6 linked regions of the Rattus norvegicus genome follow. The protein of the gene in region 1 interacts with the protein of each later gene in a pairwise test. Links are inferred from orthologs where the notes say so. Each region holds a gene or a part of one and is shown on either strand. Other genes may lie near its edges. The genes, in order: Dzip3, Zfp24, Hnrnpf, Hnrnpul1, Zcchc10 and Atxn1.

Region 1 (4,245 bases):
AAATACAAACGATTTTTGGATCTGTGGAATACTTACATAATTGTACCTACACATAATATAAATAGGAGTCCTGTTAGTACATGTAACCTGAATGAATTGCCCTGATTGCTCAATACTCAGCAAAAGCAACCAAATGGACTTAGAAGATAGGCACTTGTGACAGCCATTCCCAGTTGTCATCTAGACTACATCTGGAATGAACTACAATCCAGAAATGGAGGGCACACCTGCCCAGATCTGGAGGCTGGAAGACACAGTCTTCAGAGCCAGAAATCGACATGGGATGACATGCTTTTGATATGCTTTTGATCCAGATCTTGAGGCATAGCAGCCATGAAAAGCGTAGGCCCAGATTGAGGTAAATCTCCTGAGTTCAAGGCCAGCCAGGAAAGAGCGAGTTGCAAATCCAGGTGTGATGGTACATACCTTTATGGTCTATACCTTTCACTGGAGGCCTACATAAGGACAACGGAAAATGGAAGCCTCACTCTTCTTTGCCTGCTTAACTTGCTAGTTGGAACCTACTTCTTCAGGATTCCAGTTTATACGGAAGACCAGCTGAAACAAACACTCGTGGGAGTGTACAACTATGAGATTCTCGGACTTCCCATCCACAGCTCCCCATTGTTGGGTTAGTTGGAGTGCAGACTTAAAGTCATTACAATAAATCCCCTTAATGTACGGGGATAGTCCATAAGTTCGGTGACTCTAGAGAATCCTGACTAATACAGCACCTTAAAAAGATCAGTAAAACACACACACGCACACATACAGTGATCAGCACCTTAAAAAAGATCAGTCACACACACGCACACAAACACTGCGATCGCTTGCACCCTGAAGCCTCCTAGTTCGGGTCAAGACCACAGTCCCCTCCTGGCACTCACCCGAAGCGCACAGCATCACCAGTGCAAGGACAGCGAAGCGGCTGCAGGGCTGTCCAGGGCCAGACCGCCACTAGCCAGCCCAACAATAACGGGATTACTGAAGGGGACACCCACTCGCGCCCCAAAACTCCTTACCTCCAAGTGCCTCAGAAGCTGAGTGGCGTTCGCCTCCGACTTAACGGCTTTGTACTGACTGATGCTCAGGAGCAGGGACTTCAAGCAGGCGGTGGAATCCATGCCGACGGGCTGGACTGTCAGCGACAACAGCCCAGCAGCTCGCCTCGGTATCCAGCTGTCGCCGCGCTTTTTTTGATTTTTTTAAGCTCCACCCCTCCCGCACCCGGCTGCTTCCTGTTCCGGTCGGACTCCGGAAGTCCCTGAGCTGTCTCCGGGACTGCTGCCTGTGATTGGCAGGGTGGGCCTAGGTTCAAGGCGCTGGGGTTGCGGGAAGGTGGCTGGGAGCCGCCCCCCGCCCCACCTCCGCAGCCCCCTTCGGCCGAGAGGCCGCGAGGTTTCAGCTGGAGGTCCGCGAAGACGCGGGATCTCGCGAGACACGCTAGTGCTGCTCAACCTGTGGAGGGCCTCTGGGATGCACGGGGGTCCCTGGGCCGCGCGGGCTCTGTTCCCCGGGCCTTTCCTCGGCCTTTGCGCTGCGGGGTCTGCTTTCCGTCTGTGCCTCAGCCTCAGCCCGAGACACGGTCGCTTCCCCCTAGTCTAGACACGGTGAGGAACTCAGAGCAGTATCTGTGGGGCTTAGGTTTGTCGCGGCGGGGGAGGGGCCTCAGGCTCTCCAGCACCGGTCCCTTGTGTCCACAGACGACTTGCACGGGGTGAAGCCTGTGGCGGCCCGGTTCCCGTGACAAGTTAGCCGTGGCTTTACAATACGATTTCTCAAGACTCGACAGAGAGAGAGAGAGCACCCCGGAGTTGCTCCCGAATGTGTTCATTCGCATCAGCGTTGATTTCTATAGGATAAGGGGTTTGTTCTTGTCTGGCATGATTATTTTGCACATTTCTGTGGCGTCAAAAAAAAAAAAAAAGTGACACGGTTGAGATTTTTTTTTTTAATCAAAGGTACTGTGCACGGATATATAACGAAGTGAGTCAGCAACTGGTTTAGGAGCTTAAGCTAGGTTGTGGAATATACTACATGCCCATTTGACTAAGAACGTCTGAAATGTGTGAATTTGGGAAACGCTTTTTTTTTTCTTTCTCGTTTGCATGGGTACCCTTTAAAGACGTCACCAATTTTGATATGAAGCAATAAAAGTAAAGCTAACTGATGACTGAAAATGATTGTGCTGTTGAGATGTTCACGTAAGAATTTGTAGCTAATGTATTCATTCGTGCATTCGTTCATTCCATTTTAAACAACTACATATAACGGACTAGGGATTGACTGTCACTCAGAACAAAGATGAGGATGTGCTGCCTGCAGAGAAGCAACCATCTAATAATAGTCTAAATTGAAAAGTACTGTTGTAACTCACTAATAAACGAGAAATGCATCATCAATAAAACGTAGAGCCAGTTTGCCTATAAATATTTTTGCATCTTTCTCTTTGTGTCTCATTTTACCGCTTCAATCTTTCCGTGAAGTGAAAACTAAGAGTAGTCTGTTTTACATGATAGTTTATTCAATCAATTCTTATTTGAGCTTCCACACTGGAATGGACACCGTTCTGGTCACTATATACTTAGTCTGTGGACATTGGGTTTAACAATCTAGTGATAAGACTGTAATAAGCCAAGGAGAAAAAAACAATCTAGAATAATGGTGATCAGAACAGGAAAAGAAAAGGTCAGAATAGACCTCACTGGAAAATTGTGTGCTCGCGCTCTCTCTCTCTCTCTCTCTCTCTCTCTCTCTCTCTCTCTCTCTCTCTTTCTCTCTCTCTCTTTCTCTCTCTCTCACTTTCTCTTTCTCTCTCTCTCTCTCTCTCTCTCTCGTGTGTTCTCTCTCGTGTGTTCTCTCGTTCTCTCTCTCTCTCTCTCTCACACACACACACACACACACACACACACACACACACACACACACACACACACACACACACACACACACAGAGTCTTGAGGAAATACTTTGATGTGTGCCAGGTGGAGCTTAAATTAGTTTCACCTGTTTTTAATGGCATGGAATTAGGAAACAAAATTACCTGTAAAATTAAGCTTCATAGCTTGTATATTAATAGAACTTGCATCAATAGAATAGCAAGTGTTGATTTCTGGTTTTCTAAACCCTTGTAGACTACATTTGAAAAATGTCAACTCTTTCTCCATATTTAAATTTTTATTGATATAAAGTTATATTTATTATTCCCTCAGTCTCTTATAATTTTAGATTTCCATTTTGACTCTAGTTTCCTTTGTTCTGCTTTTGAGGACTTTATTGATTTTTACTAACTTTACAGGCACTATCTTGCATTTTGTTAATACTTTTTTTGTTCCAGAATTACCAGGGTTTTTGTTTTTGTCTTTGTTAATTATGATATACACACAGTCATTACTTGTTCTTTTTCCGTTTTGTAAAAATTGGACGTGTAGTACATTTCTATAGGTGTATGTATGAAGATATATGTGGTTTTTTTGAGATTGAATCTCATGTAGCCTAGGTGGCCTTGGACTCACTACTTACTCAGGAATGATTTTGGACTCTTCTGTATTTCCTATCTCTTGAAAGTGCTGGGATACCTAGCATGTTCTGTTATATCAGCTTATAGTGTGTTTTCAATATTTTATGTCAAGAATTTTTAAAGACACTCGCTAAAGCAATGGTCTTTTATTTTGTGTTAAAATATGTAAAATCATATTAACAAGCTAAGTATTCATCAAATATTTCAAAGGGTTTGTCTTAGTTAAGGTTTCTATTGCTCCGATGAAACACCAAGACCAAAAACTACTTGGGAGGGCAAGGATTTATTTGGCTTATGCATTTCGAATCACAGACCATTGAGGAAAACCAGATGAAGGGGCCATGGGATGGTGCTGCTTACTGGTTTGCTAATTGTGGCTTTTTCAGCCTGAGCCCTCTCACAGAAGTCACTAATTAAGAAGCTACCTTATAGGATTGTCTAGTGTCCAGTCTTTCAGAGACTCAACTGAGGTCCTTTTCACATGACTCTAGGTTGACATAAAAACTAGCCTGGACAGAGGTTGAAGTCTGTCGGGGAGTTAAGTGTTACTAGGAACAATAGAATGTTACTAGGAATACATTCTAGATGAAAGCCAGTTTACTCATTCTTCAAGGATTAGCATAAAATCCTTCCTTAAGATTTTATTACTGTCTGTGGTTTACGTTTTGCCTAGTCTCTTGAATTTATAATGCAGGAAAGAAGCATGAAAGAAATAGTGCTTGCT
Region 2 (4,297 bases), on another chromosome or scaffold:
CTGCCGGAAAATCTCCGGGTCAGGGAGATGGTTCCAGGAAATGCTCGATCCTTCTTCACCGTCAGGATCCTCCTCTAGTTTCACTCTCAGAATTTTTTCTTCTTCATCTGGATTTGGGATGATAAGTATTGAATCTTCTTCCACTGACTGGGCAGACATCCTGTTACAATACCTCCAAGAAAAGGCAACTGAGGCAAGGTACAGACCTCAGAAATACCCTGTTTTCCTCAAAAGTACTCCTAAGGTACAAGAAATAAAAAACACATAAATCACCAAGTACCCCATGATATTCGAAAAGCAGAAGGAAAAAAAAAGAGATACATTGCTTTACTTGATTAAAACTTGAAATCAATAACTTACACTGACTGAAAGTCTGCCATAGCTGGTAAACCACAGCCTATTTACCCTGCTGCCTGCTACACCATCCGTAGAGAAGTAGTGTAAACGTTTTAATGACTAAAAAAGTACAGAAATACTTCATGCTGAGAAAATATGATGTGTCTGTCTAGGACCAGCAAGGTTACTCATCTGGCAAAGGCCTGATGACTTGAGTCCAATGACCAACATGTACATAAGAGAAAAATTATTTCTGCAAGTCTGGTCTTCACAAGTGGGACAGACAGACACACACACAGAGACAGACAGACAAACACACACACAAGATGTAAAAATGTCTTTAAAAATGGTTTATGTACACTGTTTTTGCTTGCATGTATGTCTGTGTGAGGATGTCAGACCCCTTAGAACTGGAGTTAGAGACAGTTGTGAGCTGCCATGTGGGTGCTGGGAATTGAACTTGGGTCCTCTGGAAGAGCAGCCAGTGCTCTTAACCACTGAGCCATCTCTCCAGCCCCATTAATATGTTTACATTTTGTGTATATAAGTCATTAAATTTAATCGTGGTTTGGGCTATAATGTGGTAGAGTTGACAGTATTCAATGATTTCAGCTAAGATCTAAAACAATGTAATATTTACCAGCTTGCTCTTTTTAGGAAAAAAAAAAGATTGCTAATTTGTGACATATAGTCTACAAAGGGTAATTTAATAGCCTACAGTATCTGGGTAAGATGCAGTCTACCTCAGTGTTCTCCAAACGTCCTGAAGCTTGGGACTGGAGAGTTGGTTCAGCAGTTAAGAATGCATTCCCCTGCAGTGGACCCTGGTTTGTTTCCCTGAACCACAAACTCCTCTCTCTTCTCACCTCCTCAGGCACCAGGCAAACACACAGTGCAAATATACATAAAATAACAAACTAAGTATTCAGAACAGTAGGACACATAAAACATGTTTTTTGACATTTATTTCGTGTTGGAACACATCAGCACAGGTGTGGAGGTCAGGGGACATTAGTTCCCTCCTGCTATGTGCAATCTGGGATCTTGGGAACAAGCCCCCGACCTGATGAGGCACCCTACTTTTCATTTTTTGCAAACCTGGAGTAGGAAATAGATCAACCGTTCTCCCAGTTAGAATCCCCCAGAATGAGAGACTATCCTTACCCATCATGCTCTACTGCTGAGCTAATCCCCAGAATTGTCACAAATACTCTAATGTTTGTTTAGGAACTCCCTAAACTTAAAATATATGCGAAAAATGTTCACTAGTAGATAGGTATGCGCCCAAAAGCCCAACATTGTAGGCTTTACATGCAGAAGCAAGATTATGGTCATCCATGTGGCAAAGCCAACCTGGGCTATTAGATCTTGTCACAGACTTTCTTTTACACAGTTCAGTAACAGATCATATAACACTGGGGAAGGAACTATTTCACATAACATACAAATGTTACTCAGGCTTCCACCACACCATACATACATTTAAACTTACAGTGACAAGCTTCAACCACAGCAAATTCTATTAGGAAAAAGCACTCACAACTTCTCAGTGTACGGGAGTCTTTTCCCTGATGAAGCTTCCCCTAACTTTTCCTTTGGGGAAATCTGAGCTACTTTCTGATGCTTTTGGAATTTGCAAAATCATAGCCGTGCCACGGTTTACAGCACATAAAGAATAATAAGTTTACGGCTACTGTTTATTAGAGCCAAGAACTTAAGAGACAGAAACTTAAGAAAACCATATTGAAACCGATCAAGATGAAGACAAAAGATCAGAAAAGGCTGTCTCAAACTGACAGGTCATATAGACACTCAGGAGTGGGATGGCCTGATATCAAAATCTAAGTTCTTATTCCTGGACCCGATTCTATCAGCAATCAAGCATTTCTATGTGATAGAAACTGCTTTTTCTTTTACTTTGTACTGCACCAAGCTCGTGGGATGTGGAGGAACGCCGTCCGGCACTCGGCGGGATCCTGGTCTTCAGCGACCGCCCGCCTCACAGCGCTGAGCCCAGCCTGCCCCAGCAACTCGGACGTCCTCTTCCCAGCATTCACCAGGAAGGGCTGCAGAAGCCCCAGAACCACCCCGCCACACAGGACAGGCACTTCCGCCCGGGACCGGCGGGACTACAAATCCCAGCAGGTCGCGCGCGAGAACGGCCGGATCCCCCCTCGGCTTGAGCGTCTCCCAGAATCCTCCGCGAGCCGCTAGAGCCTCGAAATAGAACAAAACCGGCCCGTGGGGGAGGGGAAAGCAGGCCGGAGAGGATGCGGGCGCTGGAGGCTCTGCGGACCCCCGAAGTGCCGCAGGTCGCCGCCGCCCTTCCGCCGCCGCGGCCTTTTATGCGCACGCCCGGAATGCTGAGCGTCGCCGGCCTCTGGACCCTTACCTGAGCCCCCGCCTCCTCGAACCCTACCCCCGCGCGCTGCTGACCTCTGGCTCGGGACCCGCCACAGCCTCGTCGTCCCGGGCAGACGCTGCGCCGCCGCTTTCAGCCGCTTCCCACAAGCCCCCGGCGCGCACGGCTTCCGGTCCGCAGGACGGGGGGGGGGGCGGGAGGGAATGGGGAAGCCGAAGCCCGGAGTTGCCATGGGGACGCGCGGTGAGCGGGGGAGGTGCCGCTTGATGACAATGGCCGCATTGAGGCTGCGCTTGGCCTTGCGCCTCTCACTGAGTGACTGTTGCTCTCTGTTCCACTTTAGAGAAAGGAAAGGGGAGCAGGAGGAACGTGGGCGGCAGTTTCACAAGTGCCCGGTGCTCCTCGCCGGAGCCCTCTGGAGTAACTAGCTTACTCCAGAGTTCTGAAACGTTCTGAAAACGTGCCATGATCGTGTCAGGCACCGTCGCTGTACAATACGTGTAAATCGTTTTTCTTTACCCGCACATCTTTACTTATTGAGCCTTTGGCCCTGAAACAAGGTTTGCCTCTAAACATGCCCCAAACCATTGTCTTCCACTACTGTGTTTCAAAGATTATGACAGATTATCAAAGAAACAAGATAGTTGAGACCTTTGTCACAGAGAATTGCAGAATATACTCATGCTGGTTGTTTGATGCCAAAAAAAGAGCTGCAGTCATAATCACTTAGATTGCCTCATTTCCCTATTTAAAGTGGATTTCAGCTACCTCAACTACCTTGACATTAAATAATTGTTACGTTGTTCTGTAGGCCATCTCTGGTCTGTTGCCTGCCTTTGCCTTCTGACCATGCGTGACTTGGACTTATTGTACAGCCTCAGCCTCACTGACCAATGAACGCCCTTTCCTCCAGGTGGCCTCAAGATGCTTGTGGACACTCTGAGAAGTGATCGCATTACTTAGCTGTGCTTTGTTTGAAAGTCTTGTAAAAAGTTGGGTCCTCCCTGTCCCTAGTTTCAGGATGCTGGCTGGTACATAGAAAACTCAGTAAGCACACTTTGAATAAATGCATCAATTGTGGGCTGGTCACATTGCCTGCGGCCTTTGCTAGGTCACATGTCAAGTCTCGGAAATCGCACAAAAGAGCTCTGTTTTGGAAAAAGTCTTGTTAGAAGCAAAGGTCAAGTTTGCAGAACACTTAAAGGATCCTCAAGCCTTGCCCTATTGTCTCATTCAGAAGGGCCTCTGCAAAGTGTCCTGGGCCTCTGCAAAGTGTCCTCGGCCTCTGCTTGTTAGTGAATGAGAGAGCAGTAAACAAGCAGCTCACAGAATAGCAAGACTTCCCATTCCAGCCAGAGCTCACCTTCCCACAACCCCTGTAACTTTTCACTCTTCACTGTGAGGTTTTAGTACAGCCTTCCCCCATCTCCTGTTTGGCTGTAGACAGGATCCGGCTTGGCTGTTCTCTGCAACCTTTTTGTCTATTGTGATTCCGAAGAGCTAACTCAAAGCATACTTTGTTTTGTTTCTTTAAGAGATTTTATAGCAAGTTAATACTGAAAAACATAATAAACCCACTCAAGTAAAAAATGTGACATT
Region 3 (4,048 bases), on another chromosome or scaffold:
AGTGCCTTGCCCCATTTTTTCTGGGCCCTCAAAAAAAAATGAGAAGTGACTGGATTATTTCAGAGGCCAATTGCTTTGAATTAAGATTTGTGGTTGCCTGTTGGGTGTAGATTTTATAAGGTTCATTTTTTAAAATATTTATTTAACGTATATGAGTACATTGTAGCTGTCTTGAGATACACCAGAATCTGTTAGAAATGGTTGTGAGCCACCGCGTGGTTGCTGGGAATTGAACTCAGTGCTCTTAACTGCTGAGCCATCTCTCCAGCCCCTATAAGGTTCATTTTTATACATATGGGCCAACTTAGGTTTAAAAGTCAAGCACTCCTTCCACTACGGCGATACTAGGGATCCAAACCTAGTCAGCCTCTAGGGCTCTGAGGGAACTCGAGTAGTCCCGGCAGGTCTCGAAATCAGCTTGGCTCTGCCTCCAGAGTGATGGTATTAAAAAAATGTATGTACCATACCGGTCATTAGTTTATGTAAAAAAATTTGAGACAAGGCTAAATGATGGGATTAAAGGCGTGCCGCCACCAAGTCGAGTCGGGAGTTTTTAAAAGTTAGGTTATCGTGGAGTCGGCGGGCAAATGAAAAAAGTGTAGAGTGTCTGCAGGTTTCCATTCTGTACTCCGAGTTGATTTGGTTTTACTTGGCTGAGTCTGTCAACGCTTCGTTGCATTCGCCTTTCCAACTGTAGCGGGTAGTCTGTACTTTGCTCAGGTGGCTCCTTTACCCAGAACTCAGCGAGGAGTCTTCCCCTTTCCTTTCCCTCCTTCCCCCACTTCCGGCGCCGGCCAAACCCACCGTTCGCGGGCCACACCTGCAGGCACGCTTTTCTCATTGGTGACATATTGGCGGGCCCGGCAGGGCACTTCCTCCTCTACACCCCGTGACCCGAGTCCGACTGCCGCTGTAGATCACGCGGCTGCTGCTTCCCGGACTCCGGACTCGAACGCCCGTCTCGGCGTGGTGAGCCCCGCTTCCCGCCCGAGCCCCAGGTTACCGGCTGCGTACTTGACCTGCTCACCTTAGAAGTTTCCCTCTTCGAGCTTTTCCACGCTTCGGCCTGCGCGAGTTCTTACTCCAGCCCTCTTCCCCGCCCTCTGGATCTTCCCCTCCCCCACCCTCCGAGGCTCAGGAGCCTCCCTTCCCCCCGCCCCCGCCCGGAAGCTCCCGCCCGAGCCCGCGCAAGCCCCGGGGCGGACCTTCCTGCCCGGCCGGCGCTCGCTGCGCGGCGCGGTCGACTACCGGGCGAAGGCCGCGGAGCAGCGTCACCTTGCCCTCCGCCCTGCTTCCCGCCAAAACGCTCGTCTCAAGGGGCTCCGCTTCCGCAAAAGCGTTTCCCCTGGTCATTTGAACTTCCATTTCAGGTTGAGAACAAAAAGAAGATGCACCTGGACTTTCCCCGGAGCCCTCTGCGTTTTTAAGGCGTCGGGTGGAGTTGGGGTTCGTAAGCCGCGTTCGTTATTGAAAATAGAAGTCACTTCTACCTTCCTCCCGTGGTAAGTTTCAGAGCAGAAAAAGGCAGCAGCTTTGAAGCCGCGGCTCTCCTGGTCTTAAGAGTAGAACTTTCTGAGTAAGAAAACCTGCCTGGATGCGCTCCCGGCGTTCCGGAGGTTAAAACTCATTTACAAAATGGAGGGAGGATGAGGGCGGGCTCCCAATGAAAACTCCGGCGACTTCCTGGAACACAAAGATGCATAGAGGAGGGTGCAGCAAGGCTCCCACCAAGCGGGCCTGAACAAAAGAACTAGGTGGGTGGCGCTTGAGCCGCCCTGTTTGTTCAGCCGATAAACTTAACTAGTCCAGGATTCAGAGGGCGCACCTCTTTTATCTTACCTGGATCTACCTGAAGGCAGTGAAAATCCAGTTTAACCAGTATCACTGACTGGGTAGCTTGTTAGAAAAAAGTCTCAGCCTGTTTGTTTATTTTAATAGTGCATTTTCTTTAGTGTTTAACTTGTGGAAATGTAGGCCTAGCCTGGCTATAGTATAGGAGTCAGTCGCCCAAAATGATGCAAATGGTTTCAGTAGCGTGTCTTGCAATTAAAATCAAATGTCTGGGTGTTCTAACAGTACTTACAAAGACCCGCCATGCCATCTTCTCTTTTACTGGGCATGTCTCCACAGTTCACATGTTCACGGGTCTCGTGCCAGTGGCTTAATGTAGGTCTAGCTGCTAGCTGCATGCAGTATAGTGTCTCCAGGGAGGCCCACAGGTATTGTCTACCACACTAGAAGTAAAAGGTTGGAAAAAGGGGATCGAGTCATTAGAATTTCATGGACAGGAATATGGTTGAAACTCATTAAAGTGAAGCCCTGTTTCAGGGTCTTTGAAACTATTTTCAAAATGGGTTTTTAGCACCGACACCCCAATATCTTGCATAATTTTGGAAAATGAGACAATGCAACTGCAGTTACCCCTATTTTAAGACAACAGGCAGAATAGCCTACCACATTTCCAAAACGAAGAATGCAGCATAATTTGTCATAGGATTCAACCCCTTTCCTCACCATTTGGGAGAAGCTTTGTCACATAGGTTATGATAAAGCAAAAGGCATTGGAGACCCTTCCCCACCTCCAGCATGGAGAAGATAAATAACAGGAGTGTTTTTTCATTTCCAGAGGAAATTCATGCTGGCCTGGATGCCTATGCTACTGAAAGGGTTGGAAGTCTTGGCATAAAGTGCCCACTAGATCCCTGCTCTATTTAAATTTTAAGTTTCTCCTACATTTAAACTAAGCTTAAATTAGTTCTGCTAAGTTGTTTGCTGATGTCCTCTACCCATGAAAAGATGAAATATAAATAACCAGGAAACCTAAATATGTTGGTCCTAGGGCTACAATGTATTTCTGGATTTGAGAAAGAAACTTAGCTTGCTCTGAGCCTAGCTCCCAGGAGGTCCCCTTCTGTACGATGATGAATGGAATCTGAGGCCACGAGACCAATCTTGGGTTTTGTGTTTGTTTTTATTTTTTAAGGAAAACTTGTTATCTTCCATTCTGTGTTTCCTACAGAAGGCATCTGTGGTGGTTCTTTAAGGTAAGCTACTAAAAGATACATTTAACTGTAAGACGATTAATTTGTTAAGCAAAGTTTAGTTTTCTTTGAAGAACTGTCAGTTTTAAATGCTTGGTGAGTTTACAGTTAAGTCAAACTAAAGAACTATGAACTTCTTGGGGGGGTGAGTAAAAGCAAGCTGTAGGTGTTGGTTGACATGTTACAGAAAAGAATGCTTTCTTCCCCTGTTGCTGAAACTGCTTATAAAGTACTTGTTCCTTATGCTTCTTACATGTTTTTAGCTTTGACTAAGCTGCTATACTCTGAAGGAAGGTGTTGACCCTAGGTGGACAGTAAATCCCTAGCTAATCCTTGACCTGCTGTGGTCTGTTCCCTCTGCTAAGGATGAAGTATTGGACAACAAAATTGTCCTAAGTAGGGTCCCAGTGTAGTTTTGAAGACCTTTTAAAACTACAGAGAAGGTTGTTATGAAAGTAGAAAGTCAGACTTATTGTGGGACGTGAGAAGATGTTATTGGAATGGTAGTTGCGCTTAGATAACCCAGAGGATTATCAAGGTTTAGCTGGACAAGGTTGGGCAGAGGATATTTGGGTGGAGAATTATTTGATGTGTCAAATCCTCCAGGGAACAGTGGGGAAATTAAAGGAACTAAGGAGTAAAAAAGAATGATGGATATAGATTAAGAATGTCTGTAGGATCCAAGGATTCTTTTAGTTCAGTCTCTGTTCTAATAACCAATGGGAAATAGGGCTTAGAAGTGGGGCATTGACATAATTGGGTTACAGTTGTTAGATAAATCTTAAGATTGTGATAGAGTAGCAGGGAGTGTAAGTGTTTTCATTAGAGTTAAGAGACGCTAGGAATATAGGAGTCAGGAATTTTGAACGAGTCCCTGTGGCAACACAAGGCTGCAATTCCATCTACCAGGAGGTGGTGAGGCAAAAGGTCTTAAGTTTATTATTATGGTCAGCCTAAGCAACTAGACACACAGTTGAATCATTTAAAAGTGGCTCAGAGGATTTATG
Region 4 (3,500 bases), on another chromosome or scaffold:
ATGGCATGCATTCCATAAGTAGTTACTATTGCTATTCTTATACCTCTTCGTCACCTCCTGATCCCACAGAACACTTTTCCTAACCACTTCTAGCTCCAGCTGTTTGGGGACCTATTCCTAGTGAGTCTGGAGGCCATTATGATCCCAAGGTTTGTACACTGCATTGCCTGTGCTGGCAATCATAAGCACATCTAAAGGCAGGGGCAGGCAGGAGTATTTTAAGTCACAGACGAGTGGAACTGTTCAGAGAACTGGTTTGTGCTCCAAGTTTTGAAGACGGGGCCCTGAAGTCAATTCTAAGCAATTCACTTTAGAGACTAGTGTTAACTACTCAATGAATGGTACATCATTAGAGTAACTCCTGTTTTTCTAAGTTTAGGTTCCAGATTAGAAGCTACTCTAAAGATGTATTGCTTAGAGAAATCAAGCTGGACTTATTTCTTTGACTTTACAATCTTGTTTTCCCCATAGGACTTCTTCCTCAGTCAGTTTAATGTATTCAGTTTCTACAGAGCCTGGCGTGGATCTGTTTGTAGACTTCTGAGACACAGAGACATAGCCATAGGAAGTGGGGAATCTACTGCTAAATAGGTTTCCATTTAAAGGTGGACTTCTGACTTCTGATAGTCTGTTCACCTGAGTGAAGACAATGTCTTGGTTACAAGAGTACTTTCAAATGCATTAATCTAACTGATTTTTGTTTTTTAATCTTAAGATGTCATGGACAATATTACCAGACAGAACCAATTCTACGAGACACCGGTCATCAAGCAAGAAAATGAGTCTGTCTATGATAGGAGACCACTAGACATGGAGCCACCACAGCAAGCATATCGCCCAGGTAGGAAGGCTCCCACACTTTCTTCCTTGATGGAAACAGAATCTAAGACCTTGTGTCTTTCTCTTGGGCAGTTCTTCTGGCCTTTGTCCTTCAGGCAAGGTGGGTTTGTTTGTTTGTTTAGGCTGAGATTTAGATTTTATGCTATTTGGGATTCAGGGTTTTATTTTTGTTTTGGTTTATTTTTGGGATAGCATCCTTACTATGTTGTTCAAGTTAGCCTTAAACTCAAAAAGGAACTGGGACTGGCTTTGTAGTCTTGATCCTTCTGCCTCCTTTCCCTCCCAGTTAGTTCTGTTTGGTTTTGAAGAAGTAACACAGTCTGGATTTCTGGTATCTTTCTAGGTATTAGTGCTAGCATCTGGAGAGTTTAGACCAGGGTGCCAATGCTTTATCCTTAGAGTCTTACCATGCAGAAGCCAAAAAGAGCTTTCTGAATCCAGTATGGTGTTGCCTCTGTTCTGAAAATGATGCTCCAGCAGACTAGGAAAGGGTCTTTCATTGGAAAGGGGTTCTTTAGCCAGATACAGCTGGAAAGGGCAGCAGAGAAGTTCAAGATTGAAATAAACCTCATACTGTATATTTAAACTCAGGATTTTTAAAGCACATGCCTATATTATTTCAGAACAGCATTTTCTTTTTTTTTTTTTTTAAAGATTTATTTATTTATTATATATAAGTACACTGTAGCTGTCTTCAGATACACCAGAAGAGGGCATCAGATCTCTTTACAGATGGTTGTGAGCCACCATGTGGTTGCTGGGAATTGAACTCATGACCTCTGGAAGAGCAGTCGGGTGCTCTTAACCGCTGAGCCATCTCTCCAGCCCCAGAACAGCATTTTCTATAAGCAGGGAAACATAGGTTCTCCCCGTCTTATGTGAGGACATGTTGTGTGGTGGCAAAACGGAGGCTAAAACCCAAGAAACTGGCTCAGACCAGTGTTCATGATACATGAGCTTTAATTTTCTTGCATGTAAATCTGTTTAGGGGGGAAAATCCTGCTGTTGAAAATGGCTGGCCCATAACTGTTAATGCTCCAAAAAAGAAGTTGTTGGGTTTTTGTTTGTTTGTTTGTTTTTGTTTTTTTGAGTCAGGGTCTCACTATAGTGCTAAACTGTTGTAGATCTTGGGATCCTCCTGCTTGAGTCTCCCAAATGCCTAGATTACTCATGTGTATCACTATTCCCAGCTCCAGTGCCTTTGCTCATGAATCTAGTTGATCCTGTCCAATTCCATTCTGCTTCATTCACAAAATAAAATCCCCTGCCGGGTTAGTTATTGTTTTCTGGTTTGTGTGTGTGTAGAGGGGAGACTAGGGACATTAAGGAATGTCAGTTAAACTGTAGGTTTGTGTCAGACTGTGGGGTCATTTGACTGGTACCCAGCACCAGTGACCTCCTCTGAGTCTGACTTGTGCTTAAGTCATGGAGGCGGCCATCAAAATAACTGAACCCAATCTATGCCCTGGAAAACCAGGGAAATTGCCTCAGGGATTGTGTCCATATGACAAAGCTAGGGAGTAACTTGAAGCGAGCGCTGGGATGAGCAGATATGAGTGAGTCACATCAGCATCAGTAGGTGGAGATGGTGCCCTCTTAGCACCCTCTCAGAAAGTAGGGCAGCATGGGTCCACAGCTTGCTCTTTTTTGGTCATCCATTCATGGGATCTGTCTGACTGGGGCTTTCTCAGGTCCTGTATGTTATCCCACCATAACATCTTGTTCGATGTGGTATGGTGAAACAGACTGCCAGAACAGCTGGTCTGCCCACTTGGCCAATTGGGTTTTGTAGAAAATGGCTGAAGCCAGAAGAGTTTACTGTAGACCCACAGTGCTCTGCTGATCTCACTTCCTCCCTACCTTTGTCAGAAAGAAGCTCTGCAATAATGAGGTGGAGGTGGAGGTGAGGGTAGGGGACAGTTTAACTCTTGTTTCTCAGAGTTTACAGGATTTTTTTTTCTTTTTTCTTTTTTTCGGAGCTGGGGACCGAACCCAGGGCCTTGCGCTTCCTAGGCAAGCGCTCTACCACTGAGCTAAATCCCCAACCCCTTACAGGATCTTTATAGTCTCTTAGGGCTCACTCCCTCTCAGTGTAGGCCAAGGTTACTGTCAGCATTCATGAACTGACAGAACGTTAGCCAAAGACTCTTGTTGTACCTTTGGGTCATTTGGGGGATCTTGACTGTATTTGGTGTTGAAGGGCACCATCTCAAGGAAGGGTGTCACCTGGCCAGCAGACTGTCACCCGCACAGCCTCATATTATTCTGGCCTCCTTGGCTCACTCCTAGGCCTCTTAGAGCTCAACCCTTCACTGTAGTCACAAGCCTGCCAGCATCAGGGGTAGGAGAACCTGAGGGTTTTTCCAAGTATCTTGACCATCCTGATGCGTCTGACAGTAGAACTGAAGACAGAAACGAAGCAGGAAGCCCCACCCAGCTTCCTCCCCCCTGAAGCCTCGCAGCTCAAGACAGACAGGCCACAGTTCCAGAATCGAAAGAGGCCTTTTGAGGAGAATCGAGGCCGTGGGTACTTCGAGCACCGAGAGGACCGAAGGTGGGTACATGAGACAGCACTCACTTGTTCTCATTGAGTAAAAGCTCAGTGAGTAGGGCACAGTGGAGTTCTCTTTTCCCTAGTATTCCTTCCTTACTGGCTGCCA
Region 5 (4,028 bases), on another chromosome or scaffold:
ATCCATACACATCTAAAAGAGAGAGAGAGAGATCTAATAATACTAACAGTGAGGCCAATACTGGTCCCATCAGAGCTGTGAATGTATCTTTTATTCACCAGATGTAATTGTCATCTCAGAGGTTTGCTACTGAATAAACCCATCCTTTCTAGTTCTTTCTGAACTCTGGCTGGTTGGTTCAGCCTAAACTCTCTGAGCTGACGCATTAACCTGCTTCTCTCAGCTTCTGACAGAATTGCTCTACTTGGCCTCAAACTGACTCTGGCAATCTGTTCTAATCTTCTGGTCCCTCTCTCTCTCTGACTCATTCTGTCTTCAGACTGAAACCTGTCTCTGTAAAACTGTCCTGGTAAAACTGCTCGCTCCCTCTCTGTCTCTGTCTCTCTGTCTCTCCATCTCTCCCGCTCATCTTGTCTCCGTCTCTGTTTCCCTCTCCCTACCCCTCCTGCTCTCAAGCCACTGATTCAACCAAACTGACTAGAACTCAGAGATCTGCATGCCTCTGTCTCCTGAGTGCTGGGATTAAAGGCATGTGCTGCCACACCTGGTTCTAAATTTCTTTACCTGGAACTTGCTCTGTACCATGCTGGCCTGGAACACGTGTCTGTATTCCGGCCAGTTATGATCCCTTTCCAGAACAGTCATATTGCTGGATTAAAAACTCCTCTACACAGATCTTTCACAGAAGGGAAAAACAAAACAAAACAAACCAGCGTGATCCAGTCATCAAGTTGACACCTGTAATTTCTTGTGGCTTTTGGTGTTTTGCTTTTTAAGACGGAGTTTCTGCGTGCAGCCTTAGTTTTCCTGGAACTTGCCGTGTAGGCGAGGCTGGCCGTAAATCCCAGCAAGTGTTGGAATTAAAGATACGGGCCATTATTGCCTGGCTTTTTTGTTTTGTTTTTGAGCTAGGGCCTTATATGTTTTTCCACGTTGGCCTTGAACACGTAGCAATCCTCTTGCCTCAGTCTCCAAAATGCTTACAGGATTTTTGATACTACAAAATCCTACTCTATATAGATCCCTCGTTTGCGATCACCCTTCGAGGCCGTATTCATACTCAACACAAGACCCGCATTAAAGACAACAAACCAGCTAGAGGCCACCAGTCGCCTCTACTGGGATGAGCTCCTCTGGCCCCGACCAGAACCTCAGAGGTTGTTAAGGGCCCGCCCACCCGTCTGAGTTTCCCAAAAACCCGTGCGGCAGACTCCGGCCGCTTCAAGATGGCGACTCCCATGCATCGGCTTATAGCTCGGCGGCAAGCGTGAGTAAGACGCGTAGTGGGGTCTGCGGGAGGGCTGGGGGCGTCCAGACACCGGTCGGTAGCCAGTGCCGTTGCGGGACTGAGCGGGTTCTGAAGGGAGTCCGAAATGAATCCAAGAGCTGGTCGCTGGGTGGTTTGTGTCCCTCTGTCCGTTCCACACGTCAAGGGTAGCCTGGATGCACGGTCCTACATCTTCCCTTTCAAGGATCCAAACTTTTCCCTCTGCTGCGTTTCCCGCCTCCTTCTTATCGCCTTTCCTAGAAACAAACCTAACTTAAATGCCTATTCATTTCCCATCTACCGTCTCACTTTCTGCGGTCTTCTCAGTAATTACTTTAGTACTAGCATTCCTTGACAGTTTCAGTGTGAAGAAAATGTATTCAAGACACGCAGCTTACAGTTTTGTTGTGGAACCTGTTGGTACTCTAAACAAGTACAGCTAGTGGATTAAATAGCTTTGTTGAAGCACCACGATGGTGATGCTTCCAGCAGTCAAGAGGCAGAGACAAGTGGATTTCTGAATTCGGAGCCAGCCTGGTCTACAGAGTGAGTTCCAAGACAGCCAGGGGTACATAGAAAAGCCCTGTCTCTCGAAAAACAAAACAAAATTAAGCTTTATAGGAAGTAAGAGGTTGTAATGGGGAAAGGGAAAGGCCCGTTTCAAGTTAGTTGGGTTAGAAACGCATCTGCGGAGGGGTGACATTTGAAGAAGACAGACTAAAAGCCATAGGAAGGACAGAGTCACCTGAGGATTTGGGGAAAGATAGACAGTGGTATAATTGCTTTGAGTCTGTTAGAATTTAGGGGTAAGTGGGGGGAGATTTAGGGACAGGGTTTCTCTTTGTAGCCCTAGCTGTCCTGGAATATCTGTAGACCAGGCTGACCTCAAACTCAAGATAGGTGCCTGCCTTCTGTGTGCTGGGATTAAAGGCATGTGCCACCATGCCCAGCTTAAATAAATATTTTTACCTTTTTTTTTGAATCTCAGTAACTATCAGTCCTGGTGGCAGATGCCTTTAAATCCCAGAGCTAGGGAAGCAAAAGCAGGTGGAATACTGTGAGTCAAAGCCAGCCTGGTCTACATAGCAAAACTTCAGGTTAGCCACGACTGTATAGGAAGACTTTGTCTCCAAAAAGAAAAAACAAAGTAACTCAGTAGCTACCCATTCAGTGGTGTAAGCGACTTAAGGGGCCGAGACTGGGTAATTGAACGTGAATTTGAGTCCAGCCTGGAAGACTTCATCTTAAAACTAAACCCTCCAGTTACACCCACTCTGTATGGCCCTGTGAGGTGGCATGTTGTGTTTCTGAAACCTATCAAAAGTCATACGAAACTGAAAGGAAAACACTGTTTATGGCTCTAGTACCTGCATGCTTTGAACTTTCTTGCTCCTGACCTAAGCTATGATTTATTAATTAAAAACCTGAATATTGGGCCAGATATTGGTGGATTACGTTTTTAAGCCCAGCACTCAGGAGGCAGAAGCAGGTGGAACTGTGAATTCAAGGCCATCCAGGTCGACAACAGAGACCGTGTCTTAAAAACAAAAACAAGGAGTGTTTTCCACTTAAAGGTCATGAGTCGGGCTGGAGAGGTGGCTCAGTGGTTAAGAGCACTGACTGCTCTTCCAGAGGTCCTGAGTTCAATTCCCAGCAACCACACGGTGGCTCACAACCATCTGTAATGGGATCTGATGCCCTCTTCTGAAGTGTCTGAAGAGAACTACAGTGTACTAATATATAAATAAAATAAATAAATCTTTAAAAAAAAAAGTCATGAGTCTTTCCTTGTTTCATATTGCTTCTCCTTTTGGTTTTTCAAGACAGGGTTTCTCCAGGCTGACCTCATAGAGATCCTCCTGCCTCAGCCTCCTGAGTGGTAGGATTAAAGGCCTACACTTGTATTGCTTTTCTTTCTTTCTTTCTTTTTTTTTCTTCCTTTCTTTAAGATTTATTTAATCACTTTATTCACACACACCAGAAGAAGGCAACAGATCCTGTTACAGATGGTTGTGAGTCACCATGTGATTGCTGGGAATTGAACTCAGGACCTCTGGGAGAGCAGTCAGTGCTCTTAACCGCTGAGCCATCTCACCAGGCCTGTATTGCTTTTCTTAACAGGTTTATCTTCATCTTTGCTAAATATTTTTCTTAGATTTAGTATACAGTTCCATTGTGTATTTTTGGTTTCTGGCTGGTCATCCATCATATTCCCTGTCCCATCCGTTTTGTTTACCACAGATCTCCATTTCACTCTGTTCTCAGTCCTGCCTCACCCCTCAGGATCCTGGGATTACAGGAGTGCACTGTGTCTAGCTTTAAAATAGCTTAACTTTCTTCTTTATATAATATTTCCAAAGGCTGAACCGAGGAGTAACGTACGCCAAGCAAAAGTTTCACCACAAAGCCCGACAATCCCTCTCTATGTGCCAGTCTTTAGAAACATTTTTTTTTTTCTTTTTTTCGGAGCTGGGGACCAAACCCAGGGCCTTGCGTTTGCTAGGCAAGCGCTCTACCACTGAGCTAAATCCCCAACCCCTAGAAACATTTTTTAAAAGCTATTTTATGTGTGTGAGTGCTTTGGCTGCTTGTCATCTCTACAGCATGTGTGTCCCTGGTGCCCTCGGAAGTCAAAAGAGGGTGTCAGACCCCTTGGAACTGGAGGGAGAGATGGTTATAAGTCGCCGGATGGAATCTGGGAACCAAACCATTTATCCTTTGCAGTAGCAGCAAGTGCTTAACTGTTAAACCGTTTCTCCAA
Region 6 (4,182 bases), on another chromosome or scaffold:
TCGGTGACTCTGTACGCTGCTTCAGATAGTGACTAACTGTTAGGTCCTACGTAAACTGAGCCAAAAGGTCTCTCAAATCCAGCTACAGTCAATAGTAGTGGCTTCCAGCGAGACCAAGGGATCAAGTTTCCAGACTCTTAGTTTTAAGCACCTGAAAGAGGTCAGATGCTGGCCTGACACCTACTGGTCTTCAAGAATTATCTGCAGCAAAGAGATCGCCACACCGAGCGACCCTCCTGGGGAGGTGCGGGCTCTTCCTTCGGATGCCACACCTGTTGGCAAGGTGCACTCCTCCGGAGAAGATTCCTTCCCACGGAGCTCACACCCGGCTGAGGTGTAGCCGGAGGGGGCGGGTGGGGACTCCGCGTCTGCGTTTAGCCACCGGGCCAAGGTGGGAAGTTCTTTCGCCTTGGATTCCCGAGAACCACCATCCACTGCTCAGTGCACGGGTTACCTCACTTGAGATGAGATGAATGGTCCACAGTTAGCTGTGAGGAGTGAGCAGCAGTTCGGTTACCAGGGCTAGAGCTGAGACGTTCGATGCTCATAGCAGATTTCTAGACCAGCAGAATTTGAAAGGAGGCCCAGGAGGTCGCCAGCTTGTCCAGGCAGGAAAGGTGAGGGTGCCGGTGCAAGCTGGGGAAGCCTGAGAACTTTCCGGAGTTGCAAGCCAAGGCAGAAGGCACCGGCCTAGCATCGGGTGGCTCAGGACTGGCGGGCTGGCTAGTTAACCGCGGGGATACAAAGAGTCCTCTTAGATGCTCACCAGGGGCACCCTGGGTGCTTCGTAATTAGAATCAGCCGACTTCCCCGCCCCCTTGGGTATTTTACCAGGTGGGAGTCAAAGCCTGACACCCGTTGCTCTGAGTCTCCCAGGTTGCCTGAGTTGCACCCTGCACTCACCCTGTCCCCCTCCAACTAGGTTGCAGGGAGCCGGGGAGGCGCGCGAGCACCGATCGGTCACCACTCCAATGACCTCATCGCCCCAACTTCCCCGCCCCTTTCTCAAACCTGGAAGGCACAGTTCCCTCCGGTCGGTGTCCGGGATCTGGAGTCGCAGTTGCGGAGAGACACCCGGCCTCCCCTGGAGCGAGCGCTGCCCCAGCCCGGGTGCATAGAAGGGTTAAGGGCGCGGGCCGGCAGCCGCGCCGTGCGCTCGCCGTGCTCTGTGCGGCTCGCCGGGCCGCCTGCCAGAGGGTGCCTCTCCCCCCCCCCCCCCCCATGAAGTCGGATCCTTGAGCTGCGGCGGCGGCAGCCAACTGCTCCATATTTGGCTTCTATTACACATTTACATACTGGAGCGAGCGAGCGAGCGCGAGAGAGAGCGCGAGGGAGGGAGGGCGGGCGGAGGGAGGAGGGAGGGGAGGGGGGAGGAGGAGGAGGAGGAGAGAGCAGAGTATACCGCAGACATCATTTCTACTACAGTGGAGGAGCCGTACAGGACCTGTTTCACTGCAGGGGGATCCAAAACAAGCCCCGTGGAGCCGCAGCTAGAGCTACAACAGCCGCAGGACACTGTGTCTCTCCCTCTGTTCCCCCTTCCCCACGCAACCCCAGATCCATTTACACTTTACAGTAAGTGGCTATTTTTTTTCCTCCTCTGATTCTTTCTCTCCCCCCTCCCCCTCCCCCCGATTTAGATTAAAATCACCTCCTCCCGCACCCCAATCCGCTCTCTCCGGAGAGGGGGCCAAAGAAACATCCAGCATAAAACCCCCCTCCCCCAGTCTCAATGGGCTGCACGGAAAACAGCTGGAAGAGGAGCGAAGGAAACCGACGCGTCGTGGTGTGTGTGTGTGTGTGTGTGTGTGTGTGTGTGTGTGTGTGTGTGTGTGTGTGTGTGTGTGGTGTGTGTGCAGGCGCGCGCGAGTGTATGTGTGACTGTGTACATACACCAGTGCCCGGCTCCTGCCTCCCGGCTCGGGACCCCCACTGGGAGCAGGAGCGGCTAGCAAGGGGAGCAGCTAGGGGCTGGGTGGGCGGCCGCCAGGAGAGGGGGCGCGCCCGGGCGGGGGGCGCGGGTGGGGAGAACGGCGGCGCCCCGCTCCGGCTGCTGCTGGTCCGGCGGCGGCGAGCGCATAGAGCCCCGTCCTCCTCCTTCCGTGTGGCGTAGGGGGAGGCGGCAGCCGCGGAGGGTCGCGCTGCCCTCTTCACTCCTCAACAGCCCCCCTCCCGAGTGGGGGCGGCGAGCGCTGCGGGGGCTCGAGGGAGGGCTGGGCTTCCCCGCCCGGGGTCGCCTAGCTTGAGAGAGGCAACCCCGAGCTTGGGGTCTCCCCGCCCAGGCCAGCGTCTCGGGGCCAGGAGGGGACCTAGAGGGGACTTGCAGGAGGCTCGGGGGCGCGGAGAGGTGGCGGCTCAGGGGGCAAGGGCACGCGGGCCATCGCAGCGCAGTGGGAGAGGCGACAGGGACCGGCCCTAGCTGCAGCCGCCACCGCCGCCCTGTTGGTGCGGCCGCTTCCTGATCCAAAGCAGCAGCAGCAGCAGCGGCAGCCGCCGCCACCGGAGCTGGAGCCGGGAGCCGGGAGCCGGGAGCCCGCGAGCGCCCCAGCTCGGCCCGGCGTCCCTGCCGGCGCCCGCGGCAGTAGCGGAGGAGCTGCGGGCGCTGCCCTGCGCCGGGACTGCTCTCCTGCGCGGCGGCAGGGAGGGTGAATGAAGACGGGAGGAGGGGAAGGAGGAGGCGGCGGCGGAGGAGGCGCTGCGGGGATTGGGATGTGCCCCGGAGCCCCGCGGCTCGTTCACTCGGGGCCCGAGACGCCGCCACTGCCCGGGCTGCCGCCGCCGCCGCCGCCTCCTACGTGGTTGCAGCCGAGCGCGCAGGCCAGTCCCGCAGGGGGTAGGGAAGGGGCCGGACGGGCGGAGCGAGAGGTGAGGCGGGGTCGGAGAGCAGGGAGTAAGTGCGTGTGAGTGTGTAGGTGCGTGTGTGTGTGTGTGTGTGTGTGTGTGTGTGTGTGTGTGTGTGTGTGTGTGTGTGCGTGCGCGTGTGTTCGCGCGCCGGGCGGGGGGCCAGGACCATCGCGATGGGGAGTGGGGTCCACAGTGGTCCCTTAGCTGACTCTGCAGCCCTTCGACCTCTCTTTAGCCACCTCCTTCAACTCTGTGGCTTGTGAGCTTTCATTTTATTTCAGACCACGTAGAGAGCTGACTGCAAGCGGTGAAACAATTCAGGTTTTCTAGAGAGATTGAGCAAGGACCTTAGTGGTGGGGGGTGGAAGTAGGGTGCTGGTCTAGACTCTACCAGGGGCGCCGGGTGGGGGTGGGGGGCGGGGTGGGAGAATCAGGGTTCTAAGACGAAAGGGTTTAGTTCGATCCCGTGGCTGTCCTGTTTTGTTTTTGCTTTCTTGCTGTATAATCCTACAGATAAGAGGGTAATATAAATACTTGGGAAGGTTGGGAAATTGTTGAAGAGTAGTAAGGGCGGAAAAAAAAAGAGCCAGTCGGAAGCTGGTTATATAATGCGCTATGTGGCTAACAAGAAAGGCAAGCTATTTTTATTTTGTTTACCGTATGTTGTGCAGTAGGAACTCCTCCAAACTGGTTCTGTCCCCGAAGAGATTTCTTAGTTTGTCAGAGAGAGAGTCACAGGATACAATTAGTAAAATTAGAAGACCCCACACCACCTACAGAAGAAAAAGTAATGCTTTAGAGCTCTCACCTCACATCCTGCCTGGCATGCAGGGGAATGTGTGTATGTCCTATGTTTCCCTGTAGCAATCTAGTGGTGTCATCTCAGTGACATTTCTGTTTTATAATGCGAGCTCTTCTTAATATTTAAACAGCATTGCTATAGATCGTAGGCAACAAGGTAGTTACAGGCTGGGTATTTTTAGGTACAGCTGGTTACTTTTTGCAAGAGTGTTTGCTAAACCATTTCTGTGTGGCTTTTTGAAGAGCCCTGTCATTCCTAGAAGCCCTCGTTAAGCCTAAACCTCTGGTTTATTGATGGTGGGTGGGTAGCTGAGACAGTTTGATAGCCGAGGGTTTTATTTTTATTTTTATTTTATTTTTGAATGAAGCTTATGCCAGCGGAAGCTAGAGGTAGCCACCAGAGAGAGGAAAAACATGCACAAGCCCTCTTGGAAAGGGATTGCACCATAACAGCTTAACTGTGGCATTTAATCTCCTCTGATTGTCCTCTAACTGGCCACGCATCAGTCAATATTTTAGCAGCTTTGCAAATAAGTG

What was found.
Region 2: the proteins of Dzip3 (region 1) and Zfp24 interact in binary tests that used the Homo sapiens proteins (3 or more experiments, as listed by UniProt). The link is inferred for Rattus norvegicus from reciprocal best matches to the Homo sapiens genes DZIP3 and ZNF24.
Region 3: the proteins of Dzip3 (region 1) and Hnrnpf interact in binary tests that used the Homo sapiens proteins (3 or more experiments, as listed by UniProt). The two-hybrid records come from large-scale screens. The link is inferred for Rattus norvegicus from reciprocal best matches to the Homo sapiens genes DZIP3 and HNRNPF.
Region 4: the proteins of Dzip3 (region 1) and Hnrnpul1 interact in binary tests that used the Homo sapiens proteins (3 or more experiments, as listed by UniProt). The link is inferred for Rattus norvegicus from reciprocal best matches to the Homo sapiens genes DZIP3 and HNRNPUL1.
Region 5: the proteins of Dzip3 (region 1) and Zcchc10 interact in binary tests that used the Homo sapiens proteins (3 or more experiments, as listed by UniProt). The link is inferred for Rattus norvegicus from reciprocal best matches to the Homo sapiens genes DZIP3 and ZCCHC10.
Region 6: the proteins of Dzip3 (region 1) and Atxn1 interact in binary tests that used the Homo sapiens proteins (3 or more experiments, as listed by UniProt). The link is inferred for Rattus norvegicus from reciprocal best matches to the Homo sapiens genes DZIP3 and ATXN1.

Annotation. Positions count from the first base shown.
Region 1 is NC_086029.1:65,284,745-65,288,989, forward strand, and holds the start of Dzip3 (E3 ubiquitin-protein ligase DZIP3), read left to right. Parts: upstream 1-1,445; 5' UTR 1,446-1,610; intron 1,611-4,245. Other genes in the region: Cip2a (cellular inhibitor of PP2A), read right to left, coding at 1,023-1,124. UniProt on the Homo sapiens protein: E3 Ubiquitin ligase proteins mediate ubiquitination and subsequent proteasomal degradation of target proteins.
Region 2 is NC_086036.1:15,579,162-15,583,458, forward strand, and holds the start of Zfp24 (zinc finger protein 24), read right to left. Parts: upstream 2,801-4,297; 5' UTR 2,729-2,800; intron 2,675-2,728; exon of another isoform or gene 2,254-2,674; intron 240-2,253; 5' UTR 160-239; coding exon 1-159. UniProt on the Homo sapiens protein: Transcription factor required for myelination of differentiated oligodendrocytes. Required for the conversion of oligodendrocytes from the premyelinating to the myelinating state.
Region 3 is NC_086022.1:152,767,481-152,771,528, forward strand, and holds the start of Hnrnpf (heterogeneous nuclear ribonucleoprotein F), read left to right. Parts: upstream 1-1,248; 5' UTR 1,249-1,502; intron 1,503-2,983; 5' UTR 2,984-3,044; exon of another isoform or gene 3,045-4,048.
Region 4 is NC_086019.1:90,383,871-90,387,370, reverse strand, and holds part of Hnrnpul1 (heterogeneous nuclear ribonucleoprotein U-like protein 1), read left to right. Parts: intron 1-715; coding exon 716-841; intron 842-3,237; coding exon of another isoform or gene 3,238-3,240; coding exon 3,241-3,394; intron 3,395-3,500.
Region 5 is NC_086028.1:37,970,231-37,974,258, forward strand, and holds the start of Zcchc10 (zinc finger CCHC domain-containing protein 10), read left to right. Parts: upstream 1-1,228; 5' UTR 1,229-1,238; coding exon 1,239-1,267; intron 1,268-4,028.
Region 6 is NC_086035.1:18,942,387-18,946,568, forward strand, and holds the start of Atxn1 (ataxin-1), read left to right. Parts: upstream 1-1,382; 5' UTR 1,383-1,575; intron 1,576-1,632; exon of another isoform or gene 1,633-1,786; intron 1,787-2,723; exon of another isoform or gene 2,724-2,865; intron 2,866-2,901; exon of another isoform or gene 2,902-3,103; intron 3,104-3,263; exon of another isoform or gene 3,264-4,182. UniProt on the Homo sapiens protein: Chromatin-binding factor that repress Notch signaling in the absence of Notch intracellular domain by acting as a CBF1 corepressor. Binds to the HEY promoter and might assist, along with NCOR2, RBPJ-mediated repression. Binds RNA in vitro.